2 linked regions of the Coturnix japonica genome follow. The protein of the gene in region 1 purifies or fractionates together with the protein of each later gene. This does not show direct contact. Links are inferred from orthologs where the notes say so. Each region holds a gene or a part of one and is shown on either strand. Other genes may lie near its edges.

What was found.
Region 2: the proteins of MED9 (region 1) and POLR2E purify together in Homo sapiens (affinity purification with mass spectrometry; 4 studies listed by BioGRID and IntAct, with this or other methods). This does not show direct contact. The link is inferred for Coturnix japonica from reciprocal best matches to the Homo sapiens genes MED9 and POLR2E.

Annotation. Positions count from the first base shown.
Region 1 is NC_029529.1:4,804,415-4,808,158, forward strand, and holds the start of MED9 (mediator of RNA polymerase II transcription subunit 9), read left to right. Parts: upstream 1-936; 5' UTR 937-971; coding exon 972-1,120; intron 1,121-3,744.
Region 2 is NC_029543.1:2,009,170-2,012,913, reverse strand, and holds the start of POLR2E (DNA-directed RNA polymerases I, II, and III subunit RPABC1), read left to right. Parts: upstream 1-1,084; 5' UTR 1,085-1,163; coding exon 1,164-1,220; intron 1,221-1,293; coding exon 1,294-1,468; intron 1,469-2,157; coding exon 2,158-2,273; intron 2,274-2,545; coding exon 2,546-2,626; intron 2,627-2,773; coding exon 2,774-2,832; intron 2,833-2,982; coding exon 2,983-3,061; exon of another isoform or gene 3,062-3,309; coding exon 3,310-3,375; 3' UTR 3,376-3,388; intron 3,389-3,665; 3' UTR 3,666-3,744. UniProt on the Homo sapiens protein: DNA-dependent RNA polymerase catalyzes the transcription of DNA into RNA using the four ribonucleoside triphosphates as substrates.

The DNA of each region.
Region 1 (3,744 bases):
GCGTTCTCATTTGATACATAAATAGTTCGCTTTTCAAAAGAAATTGTTTTTTAAAATGAAAATTACCTTTCCCGTCATCCCTGGGCTATAACTAACTGATGAACCCGGGAGCTGAATTCAAATAAAAAACAAAATTATCTGTGCTCTCTAAGCCAATCCAGGAAGGATAACTCACGACTGTGGCTGCTGTTATCAGTGCTACAATAGTGTGTATTGACAGAGCGGTTTAAACGCGGCAGCAGCAGTTTGCTGAAGCACACTCCTGATGGTGCACAGGGGCAGCACTGCTCACCCTCACCTTCCATGCAGCGTGTTCTCCATCACCCCCTTGCACTCACAGCCCAGGCACCCAAGAACCCCACCTCTCCCCTCCTTGCAGCTTCATGGATGTCTCAGCCCTGCTGCTGGATTTTTGCCTCCATTCCTTCAGGTTTCTCCAGTTCCAAGCCCTGAAAGCCCTTCTCTTCTCCAGGCTGAACTCCCTCAGCCTGCCTTTATATGGGAGAGGTGCTCCAGCCCTCACAGCATCTCCATGGCCCTCCTCTCCAACGAGGACAGCCAGGAACAGTTGGGCTGCACACAGGTCAGGGATGCTGTAGGTCACACTGTGGGGTGCTCAGTGTGGGTGTGCAGGGCACTGCCTTGGGAGCACAGGCCCGGCTCAGCTGGGGAACACCTCAGCAGCAGTGCAGTCCCATATCTGAGACCCAGTCCCAAAGCTTGACCCCGGGCTCAGCCCCCACACCCACCCTCACAGCCCAGGACCCAGGGAGGCCTCCGAGCCCCGCTCCGGCCCAGGCCTCAGCCCCAGGCCACGGCCCGCAGCATCCCCACACCCCAACCTCCTGCCCAGGCCCAAACTGAGCCCCACACACAAGCAGCATCTGATGCTCAGCCCAGGCCGCCGCCGGGGCGGTACAGAGCGGCCGAGCTCCGCCCCGCTCCGTCACTGCTCGGCGCCGGGGGCCGCCATGGCCTCGGTGGTGTCCGCAGGCCGAGGGGCCGCCGAGGAGCCGCCGCCGGCCGAGCCGCCCACCGAGCAGAAACCGCCGCCCGCCCCGCCGGCAGCAGCGCAGGAGGAGTTCTCCTTCCTGCCGCTCGTCCACGACATCATCAAATGGTAACGGCGGCCGCACAGCGCCGGGCCGGCCTCACCACGGCATCACCCCGCAGGGATGCTCCCTCTGCCCTTTCTCTCCCCGCTGGGGTCTATGGGGGGGTTGGCAGCTGCTCTGCTCTGAGCCGGGCCCGTAGTTGGGGTCACCGAGGTGGGGCAGGGCCGGGTGTGCAGCAGCAGGAGCCGTGCCGAGCTGTTATTGCCCCGTATTGCTGCTCTGATGGGCTGATAAGTAAAGGACGGGCAGTCCCAGGGCAGCACTGTCTGTTTCTGGGCGTTGGGAGAAAGAGGAAGGCTTGTGCAGGCTGAGTCATCCTCTTTCCTGTTCAAAATCAATGCTGTGGGGTTAAAGGTGTTCGTACGAGGGTCCTGACAACCAGCGTTTGTGGCCCAGGGTAACCCTGTCAGAAATGTTTGAGTTCCCGGTAGGGGCATCGCCCTGCTGTGACCTGGGCACGTTGCACAGTGATGCAGAGGGCACAGGAAGCGTGAATTCCCACTCCTTGTTGTGGGTCTGACTGCCCTTTCCCTGCACGCTTCTATGGGAGCTGAGGCTGCTTTGTTTCCTGCTGGGGTTCTGTGTGTCTGAGTACCCAGAAGAGGTTCACCCTTATTAACCATGCAGCTGGAGGAGCATGGCAAGGAAAGGCCGAATACCCCACAGACACGGCAGCCTAGAATCTAGCTCTCCTAGATTCAGGAGAGCTATGAGAACTCAAACCCACCCTCCATTTCCCCCCTGCGCTGCCACTGTCCCTGTGCTCAACCCTGCCTGATCCATCCAGAGGTGATGCTGAACCTGCTGCCATCTGTATATGTGTGCAGAGCCAGAGTGAGCCAGATCCACGGGCTGAGACCTCCCAGCCTCCTGTGTGTCACCAAGCAAGTCGTGGCGACCCACAATGACAGTGCTGGGATATCCTGTGCCCTGTCCCTCTGAGCCACCCACTCCCACTGCCCCGCTCCCCCCCAGGTTGGCACACAGCATTTCCTGCACGGGGTGAGCAGACGTAGGTGCTCAGAGCAGCACTGCAGAGGGGTCAGACGGCAGAGCCGAGCAGTGGGATGAGTTGCCTCATGTCCCTGACAGATGGCAAACGTATTATCCTTTAACGCCGCCGCCAGGCTCACAGCCCGGCCCTGCTGTTCTGACACTGACTCAGCCCTGAAGACATTTCACATCTCCAAGGTGACTGTGCTGGGGTGCAGTGATGTATCGCGTACATTTGCTTACATTCAAGGACACGTGTTCCTTCCTGTTGTTTGAGTCCCAAGAAAGTTCTCCCAGGCAGGGCTTGCTGTTACTTTCACCCTTGTATAATCAGATGAGGTTACCTGTGAGGTCCCTGTGCGTGGTGGGTTGTGCTGGTGTATCCAGGAGCTGCAGGTGGGACATGATGGAGTTATGATTTGTTCACAGCAGTGAAGGAGAGCTGGTGGGCAGCTGGGGAGGGTCTGAAGATCTCAGTCCTTGAAGGGAGATCCCAAGCACTGTGAGGCTGTGGCTGGACATTGCATTTAATCCTGTGTAACTGCAGGTAGCTGAACCTCTTCCCACTCTTGCTCTCCCCCCTGCCTTTCCATGCCTGCAGAGGAGCTGCTTCAATTACTTGAAAACTCCCATCAGAAACAAAACAACAACAAGCCTGAAAATAGTTATTCCTTCAAACCAACCAACCAACCAGGCAACCATCCATTCTTTGGATGTGGAGAAGAGAACGAGCTGTGGAAGGACCTGGTCGGCCCTTTGAATCCAGCATGCAGCTCGTGTGGATTAAAGGCAATGCCAACCCATCCTTCCCAGATGTGCAATGTGTGTGTGCCTGTATTTTTCCACTGTCAACTTGACCGTAAACGCCTGCATAATGGGGGTACATTATAGTACCAGCTGCGGTTTTATTTAGAAGGGAGTCATGAATATTTTGTTCCAACAGGCTGTTGAAATGAACGGGACCATCTGGTTAAAAGTTTTGCTCTCAGTCGTGTCACGATTCCCCAAAGTTCTAATCAGGCACCTCTCTGCCCTGGTCATGCCAAGCAGTTTTATTTTGGGCCTGGCTATTGAACAGGCTCCCAGCTTACAGGGGCCGTTAGCAGCCTGCTCTCGTTATTAGCGCTGCCTTGGAAGCAGTCTCGCCTTTGCCTGGAATGGTAAAACTCCTTGCTGTAGCTAACAAAGCTGAAGCAGATACTAATGAGGGTTTGAGGGCAGACGCTGCCTCAGACGACGCTGATCCTCGAGAAGCACGGAGCTGCAGAAGCAATTGTGCTGCTCTTAAAAAATAAGCTGTCGCTTCTCTTTATTAGGTAGACATCCCCGGAGAGTCGTTCTGAAGCTCCGAAATGCCGTTTTCTCTGCCATTGGACACACTCTGGTACTTTGGGGAACGATTCCTATTTTCTGCTGTCAAGCTGTTTGACTGCATCGATTTCTTGTATTGCTTTGACAACAGGTCACAGACGGGGCTGAGGTCTTTTTTCCCAGGTGCCCACACACAACCTGTGTGTGTGTAATCTTACCTTCCCCATATGGGAATTGAAACAGAGTGAGAGGCTGTGGTAGTGTTTGAAAGCTGCAGACCAGGTCTTAACCTGTAGGACTGCAATTAAGGTTACTGGATGGTGTG
Region 2 (3,744 bases), on another chromosome or scaffold:
GTATCGTGCGTGCAGGTCGACAAGCTGAGTGTAATTCACTGCAGTCTTTCCTCATTTGGAAGCCACGTTGGTGATGATGCAGACGAAACCCCTGGAGGGGTAAAATAGGGGGTAAAAGGAACCTCTGTGGGGGTAAATGGGGTAAAATAGGGGGTAAAAGGAACCTCTGTGGGGGTAAATGGGGTAAAATAGGGGGTAAAAGAAACCTCTGTGGGGGTAAATGGGGTAGAATAGGGGGTAAAAGGAACCTCTGTGGGGGTAAATGGGGTAAAAGGAATCTCTGTGGGGGTAATATGGGGAAAATAGGGGGTAAAGGGGGTGAAATAGGGGGTAAAAGGAACCTCTGTGGGGGTAAAAGGGGTAATATGGGGTAAAATATGGGGTAATATGGGGTAAAATAGGGGGTAAAAGGGGTGAAATAGGGGGTAAAAATGGGGTAAAATGGGGTAAAATAGGGGGTAAAAGGAACCTCTGCGGGGGTAAAATGGGGGGGGGGGTATATAATACAGCCCATTGCTGTGTTGCTGTATGGTACATATAATGTCTCTATAATGTCTATATAATGTCTATATAATATATATATCTAATAGACCTGTATTGCTCCAAGGCCACGTCTCGGCCGTCGATATCCGTGGCGTGGAAGTCATAGATGGAGGTGGCCGATCGCCATTCATCCGCCTGCGCGCACTGCGGGGCCCAGCGGTCACAAAGCGGCTCCGAACCCCCCCAACCCCCCCAGTACCGACCCGGTTCGGTTCGGTTCGGTTCTGTTCTGTCCCCCCCCACTCACCATTGTCCGCCCCGCTCCTCTCGCCGCCGCCGCCCCGCACAGCAGCGCCCGCCCGCAACGCCACCCCCACCCCATCCCGCCACCGCTCTCCCCCCCTTTGACCAATCAGCGATTAGGACGCGCGAAGGCACCGCCCACTTCTTGCAGTTGCGCAATGCGAGCCGCTCCCTTGGGTGATAGACAGGCGAAACCACCAATCAAATCAGCGAGGCTGCTGCAGTGTCAACAAGGGGGTGGTGTCCTTCCGCCATTCCACCCCGCCTACATCTCCCAGCGTTCCCCGCGGTCAAGGACCCCTCGCAGGGCAGCCCCGCCTGCTCGTTGTGGACAGGCATTGAGGCGGGCAGCCTCGTGGGGTCCTTCAGGAGGCAACATGGACGACGAGGAGGAGACGTACCGGCTGTGGAAGATCCGCAAGACCATCATGCAGGTGCGGGCCGGCCCGGTTCGGTTCGGTTCGATTCGGTCCGGTTTCAGGTCTCATATGTTGTATTTCCCTTTAGCTGTGCCATGACCGCGGTTACCTGGTGACTCAGGACGAGTTGGATCAGACGTTGGAGGAGTTTAAAGCTCAGTTCGGGGATAAACCCAGCGAAGGCCGCCCGCGCCGAACGGACCTGACCGTGTTGGTGGCACATAACGATGATCCCACGGACCAGATGTTCGTGTTCTTCCCCGGTGAGAAACGGGGCCGGGTCGGAACCGGGTCAGAAACGGGCTGGGACCGGGTTGGGACTGGGTTAGAACTGGGTTAGGACCAGGTTAGGACCGGGTTGGGACTGGGCTGGGTCTGGGTTAGAACCGGGCTGGGACCGGGTTTGGACCAGGTTGGGACCAGCTTAGAACCGGGCTGGAACCAGGTTAGAACTGGGTTGGGACTGGGCTGGGACCGGCTTAGAACCAGGTTGGAACCGGGTTAGGATCAGGTTAGAATTGGGTTAGAACCGGGCTGGGACCGGGTCAGAACGAGGTTGGGACCGGGTTAGGACTGGGTTAGAACTGGGCTGGGACCGCGTTAGGACCAGGTAGGGACCGGGTTAGAACCGGGCTGGGACCGGGTTAGAACTGGGTTAGAACCAGGTTAGGACCGGGCTGGGACCGGGTTAGAACCGGGTTGGGACTGGGTTAGAACCGGGCTGGGACCAGGTTTGGACCAGGTTGGGACCAGCTTAGAACCGGGCTGGGACCGGGTTAGGACCGGGCTGGAACCGGGTTAGAACTGGGTTGGGACTGGGCTGGGACTGGCTTAGAACCGAGCTGGGACCGGGTTAGTACTGGGCTGGGACCAGGTTAGAACTGGGCTGGGGTCAGGTTGGGGTCTGGTGGTGCTCCTGGTTCAATCTCACCCTGCTCTTTTCCTCCCTCAGAGGAACCCAAAGTCGGCATTAAAACCATCAAGATGTATTGCCAGCGCATGCAGGAGGAGAACATCACGCGGGCTCTGATCGTGGTGCAGCAGGGAATGACCCCATCGGCAAAGCAGGTACAGTGTGATGTGGCCCCGGGGCTCTTTGAGCTGTGCTGGGTCCATAAAGGCAGAGTTCAGGCTCTGTGCCTTAATACTGGGCTTATACATTGAGTGCACTGAGCTGGTGCTGGTTGGGCACAGAGATCTGTTTCCTCTCTGCCCATATGACCATATCAATGTGAGCACAGACACCGTGTTGCCCTCCTGCTGCTGTTCATCTTGGGGCATCTCTGAGCTCACACTGTCTCATATCAGTGCTACAACCTGATGTGCTTCTCCCTTCCCAGTCCTTGGTCGATATGGCTCCCAAATACATCCTGGAGCAGTTCTTACAGCAGGAGCTCCTGATCAACATCACAGAACACGAGGTGAGTGATTCAGGCCGGCCCTCCCAGCCCTGCCCTGTGCTGGGTTTCCCCACCAGAGCTTTGTTCCTCCCCCCAAGTCTTGCAGCTATGCAGAGCTGGTTGCTTTCTCAGACTCTTATGATCTCTCTTTCTCTCTCCTGTTTACAGCTGGTCCCAGAGCACGTTGTCATGACAAAAGAAGAAGTAACCGAGCTGCTGGCCAGATAGTATCCTTTGTTTGGTCCTTCCCTTGCAGTCAGGGTGTGATGAGTGCTTGTCTTGGGCAAGAAATGGATTCCTTTGAGTGTGTGATGTTCTGTTAGCTGTGCCCTGCCTCAGGACAAGCAGACACAGAGCTCCTCCTTGACTCCATGCAGTAAGCTGAGGGAGAACCAACTCCCCAGGATCCAGGCTGGGGATCCTGTGGCCCGATACTTCGGGATAAAGCGAGGCCAGGTAAGAGCAAATAGCCTGATAACAAACAGCAGGGCCCTGCAGGCAGGATGGGGAGCTGCAGCACAGTGTGTCAGAGCTTGGAGATGGGAAAGGTTTCCTCTTTGTTAGTGTTTTTGTTTCTGAACGTTATGGGTTATGTAGAGATGTGTGCAAGGCAGCAGATAGCCCTGGGGCCAGGCTTGGCTTCCTGCTGAACCAGCTGCTGTAACACCAGCCATCCCCCATTGCTCCTTTTGCTGCCCTTCCAGGTGGTGAAGATCATAAGACCGAGTGAGACCGCAGGCCGTTACATCACCTACAGGCTGGTGCAGTGATCAGAGCTCTCAGGTAATGTGTGAGATCCCCATCTACGGGCAGTGCTTTAAACTTATGCTGTGGTTTTCTAGGGGTGACTTGAAGTGAGTTGGCTCTGGGAAAGGATTCCCTCCTGATTTGCGAAGGGAACTGTATGGGATGGATCAGAGCAAAGCTATACTAGGGTTTGGTGCCTCAGTATCACAGCTGAAGGCACATCTCAATGTTCAGAGCAGCAGCAGGGCTTTGCTTTGAGAGCAGCTGCTGAGGGAGACATGAGCTCATTCACGTCCTGACTTATTTCTTCCAGTTGTGAAAGAATTCTGTGACATCTGATCTTCCCACCCACCACCAGCTCTCAGCTGTCTGCATTCGATGGCTGAGGAAGT